Linked DNA regions of Oryzias latipes. The protein of the gene in region 1 interacts with the protein of each later gene in a pairwise test. Links are inferred from orthologs where the notes say so. Each region holds a gene or a part of one and is shown in the gene's direction. Other genes may lie near its edges.

Region 1 (3,862 bases):
GAAGTGAAGAGATGCTTTGTCACATAGTATGAAATCAGTTATCTTTAATGCCAGAAAGTCAAAAGATAATCAGACATTTTTGTATGAATTTAATAGTATTTCTATTCTGGAAGAGTGGATGAAAGTTGTGGATATCTAGAAATGCTGTAATGAGGAACTTCAGACTTTTAATGTATTTATCTGTTGTAGAGCAGCATCAGATTCACTAAAGGAAACTAATGGAGGCTGGTTTTGAGGCTGATTTTGTGCTGGAGCAGTTTTGGTAAAGTTGTCAATGTCAAAATATGCACAAGATAATTCCCTTACAGATTTTTCTTATCAGCAAATAAAATAAAAGTCTCCTCCATGGTAGCTTTAACATTGATTAAGAATATCATTCTTACATGATGCAATTACATTTAATTTAATCAATGAAAACCTTTTATTATAATTAATTTACCCTACTAATGGGCATTAGAATGAAAGTTCAGGGCATTGACTTGCAGATATTTAAAAAAAAAAAACAGTGGAATTTATCTTTTGGGGATTTAATGGAATTGTAGTCACTGTGCAAAAACAAAACCACCCCCCCTCCACGCACACACAAACACACACATTTGTCCCTTTTATGATATTTTTAAAGATGTGTCCGTTCTGCCAACATCATTTGAATGCACAGTTTTCACAGCCATCCTCTTAATCCTAGAAACCCACAAAATCTGGAAGCGGTAGAAAGAAACAACATTGAAATCTTACGGTCACTTTTGATGTTTAATATTAAAGAGATACTGAGTAGACAGTGAGGAACAACACATCTATAAACATGAATTACTGCTTTGTTTTTTTTATTTTTTTATTTACCAAGGCTGTGTCCCACCAAGGTGGGGTAGCCTAGACAAGGCACACAATTTTAGCTCCCTCTGTCTCTTCCCCAAACCCTCCTCCTTCAGTGTGTGTGTGTGTATGTGCGTGTGACTGGTCTGAGGCCTGGTCTAAGCCACACCACACTGCACCAGGGTCAGCTGCACACTCCAGTGTGGGCACCTCCACAGCAGGGCCTCAGCCAAGGCTGGTTTCCCCTTGCCGCTTCATCCCAAGACCAGACCTCTACCACACCCATCCATTCATCCATACACAAGCTCTCTCCACCCATCCCTGTCCTGAGCAGCCTCTCTCCCTTGCACCACAGTCATCCCTCTTGCATTCAACGCTCTTCTTACACCCTCAGTCCATCCCATTAGCCGGCATTAATCATAATTTATATTAAAAAACAGGATACCAGCACTTAAAAGCCACATCGCAGATGTCATGTCAGAATCAGGTAGTTACATTTTTTTAAATTCCCAATTTTCTCATGTCGAAAAGAAATAAAAAAAATAAAATGTTTACCCTCCCAACCAAAAGGTGGCGGTAATGCATCAATCTGTCAACAGCGTTCAATAACAAAGACGTGCGTCACAAACCGGAAGTCCAGAGCTAATAGCCATCAGCAGAAATGAAGATGACAGAAGAAAACTCTCTTGAAAGGTTAAATGTAACGATGGATGATGTGAACGCTATGATTAAAAAAAAAGAAGAAATTGAGGAGCAGATAAAGGCGTACTATGATGTCTTAGAGGACGTAAGTTGGACACAAAGTTACATAAACTCTTTGGGTTTCGAGTTTCCAAAATCAATCATTCTATCGGTTTTTTATAGCAGGGGGTTGGAGTTGAGGGTCCACTGGTTGACGCTGAGGGTTACCCACGAGCGGATGTGAATTTATACCAAATCAGGACGGCGAGACACAACATATCATGTAAGCATAAGATTTTTGAAACACATTTTATTGAGCTTGTTGTGTATAGAAAATAAATATAACATTCAACAATCCGACGAAGATCATGATCCTGTATAGCTTGAACCAAAAGTTCAAAACTTATAGTCAATAAGAATTTTAAACAGCAAAGACTCTTTAGTTTAACTATTTATTTTTGCTGTATTTTTTTTTCTTCATTTCCCCCCTTTTTTGTTAAACTTTTATGGCAACAGACGTTATTTCTTTGTTTTCAGGTCTGCAAAACGACCATAAGGCCATCATGGCAGAGATAGAGGAAGCCCTGCACAAGCTGCACGCTCGAGAGAAGGCCAAGCGAGAACAGGACCAAGCAGAAGCCACAGAGGAGCCCATGGAGCAGCAGGTCACCCTGCCTCCTCCTTTTGCACAAGTGGACACCGTGACTGAAGGTTCACCTGCCTCTGCAGCGGTTAGTGAATTTTAGCTTATTTTGTATTCTCAAAGAAACTATTTATACTACTTTAGATATCTTTTTTTTCCCTTAAAAGGGCCTCAAAGTTGGAGATGAAGTCATTGAGTTTGGCTCTGTAAACACCAAGAACTTTCAGAACCTCCAGAATATTGCATCTGTCGTGCAACACAGTGAAGGGGTAAGTTTAGATGTTGTCCTGCAGGTTTATATTGAATATATTAACATTTCTATTTTTCTTCTAATAAGTCTGTTTTGTTGCCACAATGTATTTTGCTTTCAAATTAAAACATTTTTCTTAACAAATTTCTGTTAATTCCATAAGAATTTAACTAAAATGGGAATCTCTTCATCGCGTTTCTGTTGCAGAAAGCTCTGCGTGTCACGGTTGTAAGGGCTGGCCAAAAGGTTCAGGTGAATCTCACCCCACAGCGATGGTCCGGCAGAGGTCTGCTGGGGTAAGTAAAAAGCATCTTCACTGTTACAAGCCCTTGTTTGGATCAGTTCTTGTAGAACCAGCTTGATCTAAATTTAAAAGGGGCTAAAAAACAGCCATTTTATGAAATGAAATACTGGTAAACCAATCCTTTACCATACTTTCTTATTGCTGTTTTTGATTTTTTTTGAATAGCTACACCTAAAGTCAAAACCTGTTCATGTTTCTCTTTTCATTTTTTAGATGCAACATTGTTCCTGTCCAGAGATAAACTACACAACTTACATTCTGGAACTTTTCCCCCACTTTCCTTTTTGAGTGATTTCCCAATGACTTTGTATACAAGAGCAGAATATGGGACAATAAAGAACACTTGAGATTAAATATTTGGCAGACAGTTTTCTGCATTTGCAAAAGTTGGGACTGTTAGTTTTCCCTTCTGCATAACAAAAATAGATTTAGATTTTTCTATATTCTTCATCTTGGTTGAAATTAGTGACTGACTTTAGGATACAGTGATTAAAGAAAAAATAAAATAAGGAAAAATATCTAAAACAAAATGCAAATGCTTTGCAATAATCTGAAATTGTTTGATTGAATTTGGCTTGTTTTTTTCATTAGATTTTTCACCCCTTTTCATGTAATGGGAAGAACTTTTTTGTGTTTGCAGTGTTAAAAATGTCATCTAAAATAATAAAAAAAGACAAAATTGCAACCTGTGTTCTATAGATTCCACACAATAATGCTTTTGAGACAATCAAGAAAAACGAAATTTTAATTCAAATAAAATTATAGATTTTATTTATTGAATCAAAAAGTACAGTTTTTTCAATTTACAAGTAACAACTAAGATATGGGCTGAAAAATATTTAACTTAGCATGTTCCTAAGTCGTCTGTGACATTGGTATGAATGACAGGTGAAAAGTCTGTCTTGACATGTTTGCATTTTCCAGCCCGTTTAAAATTTCAACAAATCTAAAACTACAAAAGTTTTTTTAAGTGACGACAAAGAAGTGGTCTGAATAACATTGGAGGGGCAATCATGCAGGCATCTTGAGTTTCTTCTTTTTAGGTTTGACCATCTGTGGCAGTTGGATTTTAAAGGCAGTCCTGAAACAACACAAAACGAGACTGAACAGTCTAAATGCACAAAGTTCAATTGGTGCTAAATGTCCCATTTACTGGCAGTACAATTTAAAA
Region 2 (3,197 bases), on another chromosome or scaffold:
TGGGACTGAACACTGGCATGGTTGGGGTCATCACACCCTGCATAATACAATACCACCACGTTGTTAAATTAGAAGAAAGTTTTTTTTTTTTTTAAAAGCTCAGTATTTACAGTAATGCAAAATATGACCTGCAGTATGACTTTCTGAAGCAACCGGAAATCATGCTCTGATTAAATGTAATCGTAGATACAATACAGAAATACAAAATAAAAGAATCATGATTTCCTTAATGAAATTTATATTTCAGTCATAAATATCTTGAAAATAAATATATCAAATTTAAATAAAAGTAACTCATATTCAAAACTAACCAAAACATATGTAATAAGTTGAAATTGAGAACTTATCAATATTTTTCTCAATATTTTGTGATGACCCGATCATGTAATTAGAAATATTATATTTGTGAAATGTTTGTTTTATGAAAACCATTTTGAAGAAACCAAAGCGGAGATTAATACCGGAGGTGAAGCCAGGCCTTGAAAGGCTTGGATGCTGTTGTTTTGGTCCATGTTTTGTGCTTCTCCCGTTCCAACACTGCCAACCACTATTAGGCAGTTGTCCAATCCACTTTCGCAGCAGGTGCCTTGAATTGAGAGGGCTCTATGTACGTAGAAAAAGACCACTAGAATAAAAATAGACTTCACAATCTCCCCTGTTTTTTTCCACAATGCTGAGTCCAGAACGCTGAAAAACAGAAGATGTGTGTGTGTGTACACAGAAGAGAAGTTAGCAAAACTAGAACAGAAATAAGAGCGCGAACATAAAAGAAACATAATATTCTGAGTCACGAGGTCTGCAGTTACCGTGAACCTCATTGTGTGGCCTTTCAAATGCTTTTTTTTAAATCATTAATTCTTGTCTATAGACGATCAGTTCTCTCGTAGCACATCTGACAGCCTTCAAATTAAACACACCGGCTAGCTGAAGTTAGCTGCATAGCTAAAGTAAGCTAGCATACACATAGGGATACAAACCCTTTTCTGTGGCGTAAAGCGTTTGCCGCGTTAAAAAAAGTTGAAAACTAAACTATATGTGTTGAAAGAAAAGCCTGTTAATGAAAGGCAACTTACTGGTATCGTTTTGGAGCTGAAGTGACCACAAAAACAAGATAATGCGAGCTTAGCTTGTTTTATCTAACGCTCAGTCTGGGAAGAAAATGCTTGGCTCCTTCCGGAAGAAGAAGCTTTAACTTCCGGCGTGTCACAGCGCGCAGTCAGACAGAGCAAAGATGGCGTCGCTGAGTGACAAATCAGTTTGGGACGAGGTGGAAGATGGAATCGGAGAAGAAGTGTTAAAAATGTCCACAGAGGAGATAGTCCAGCGCACTCGTCTCCTCGACAGCGAGATAAAGATCATGAAGAGCGAAGTGCTTCGGGTGACTCATGAGCTCCAGGCCATGAAGGATAAAATCAAAGAAAACACGGAGAAGATAAAGGTGAACAAAACTCTGCCGTACTTGGTTTCGAACGTGATTGAGCTGCTGGATGTGGATCCCAACGACCAAGAGGAAGATGGGGCAAATGTGGATTTGGATTCCCAGAGAAAAGGAAAGTGCGCTGTCATTAAAACCTCCACCCGGCAGACATACTTCCTGCCGGTGATCGGGCTGGTGGACGCCGAGAAGCTGAAACCTGGAGATCTTGTTGGGGTCAACAAAGACTCCTACCTGATCCTGGAGACCCTGCCCACAGAGTACGACTCCAGAGTTAAAGCCATGGAGGTGGATGAGCGTCCCACTGAGCAGTACAGCGACATAGGCGGCCTTGATAAGCAGATCCAGGAGCTGGTGGAGGCTATAGTCTTGCCTATGAACCACAAGGAGAAGTTTGAGAACCTGGGCATCCAGCCACCCAAAGGGGTTCTCATGTACGGCCCACCTGGTACAGGAAAAACCCTCCTGGCCAGGGCCTGTGCTGCTCAGACCAAAGCTACCTTCCTAAAGCTGGCAGGTCCGCAGTTGGTACAGATGTTCATTGGAGATGGCGCCAAGCTGGTCAGAGATGCCTTCGCTTTGGCTAAAGAGAAAGCTCCGTCCATCATCTTCATCGATGAACTGGATGCTATTGGAACGAAGAGGTTCGACAGCGAGAAGGCTGGAGATCGAGAGGTGCAGAGGACCATGCTGGAGCTGCTCAACCAGCTGGACGGTTTTCAGCCCAACATGCAGGTCAAGGTAAAGATGCTTTCCATGTAAACATTTGTGTAAAACTAATTGTAATTAGTTACAGCATTATATTCTTTAATCTTTTAAAATGGTTGCTAAATTTTACATTTAAACTTTAGCATGCACTCTAATAATGTTGTGCTCCAGGTCTGACCACAGTGCTCTTGTAAATCCTTCATAGGTGATTGCTGCCACCAACAGAGTGGACATCCTGGACCCTGCTCTGCTTCGTTCAGGTCGGCTCGACAGAAAGATCGAGTTCCCCATGCCGAACGAAGAGGCCAGAGCTCGCATCATGCAGATTCACTCCCGCAAGATGAATGTCAGTCCTGATGTCAATTATGAGGAGCTGGCTCGCTGCACGGATGACTTCAACGGAGCCCAGTGCAAGGCTGTGTGTGTGGAGGCTGGTATGATCGCACTGCGCCGTGGCGCCACAGAGCTCAACCATGAAGATTACATGGAGGGAATCCTGGAAGTCCAAGCCAAGAAGAAGACCAACCTTCAGTACTATGCTTAAGGCCACTGCCGGTGTCTGGGTTTTGTGTGAGCATGTATTGTGATTAAAAAAAATCCTGAGCAAACACTTGTTACTAAAACTATCTTGATTTAATAAAAAGAGAGAAAATCAATGTAGTCTTTTGTCCTACTGATTACAGTGAAAGAGGACTATGAGGTGCTTTCAAACAAATACATAAAAAAATCTTATAATATGGAGGGAAGTTTCTCAGACTTTGTCATGTTTTGGGTGAATCATTCACTTGAGCAAAAATAATCCTATTTTGGACAACAACTTTATTTAGGGCCCTGCATACAACCATATTAAAGGATTTTTTTTCCAACAATTCTTTTAGCTTTATGGATTTGAGAGATCGGTTGGGCTGTATCAATATTAATGTGTTATCAGGAAGCAACCTTTATTACATTTTTAACATTGACGTAAATAAAAACTTCAAATTATCTTTTACTCTATCCATAAATATGGTTTTGTTTGGTTTTCAAAATAGAGGTATGCTTTTATCACGTTTTC

The links. The genes of interacting proteins can lie anywhere in the genome.
Region 2: the proteins of psmd9 (region 1) and psmc3 interact in binary tests that used the Homo sapiens proteins (3 or more experiments, as listed by UniProt). The link is inferred for Oryzias latipes from reciprocal best matches to the Homo sapiens genes PSMD9 and PSMC3.

What each region holds. Positions count from the first base shown.
Region 1 is NC_019867.2:12,048,998-12,052,859, reverse strand, and holds psmd9 (26S proteasome non-ATPase regulatory subunit 9), read left to right. Parts: upstream 1-1,427; 5' UTR 1,428-1,474; coding exon 1,475-1,600; intron 1,601-1,677; coding exon 1,678-1,777; intron 1,778-2,031; coding exon 2,032-2,225; intron 2,226-2,304; coding exon 2,305-2,406; intron 2,407-2,594; coding exon 2,595-2,683; intron 2,684-2,904; coding exon 2,905-2,932; 3' UTR 2,933-3,192; downstream 3,193-3,862. Other genes in the region: gtf2h3 (general transcription factor IIH subunit 3), read right to left, coding at 3,703-3,772. UniProt on the Homo sapiens protein: Acts as a chaperone during the assembly of the 26S proteasome, specifically of the base subcomplex of the PA700/19S regulatory complex (RC).
Region 2 is NC_019861.2:24,483,547-24,486,743, forward strand, and holds psmc3 (26S protease regulatory subunit 6A), read left to right. Parts: upstream 1-1,211; 5' UTR 1,212-1,231; coding exon 1,232-2,176; intron 2,177-2,348; coding exon 2,349-2,687; 3' UTR 2,688-2,697; downstream 2,698-3,197. Other genes in the region: tbp (TATA-box-binding protein), read right to left, coding at 1-37, 462-512.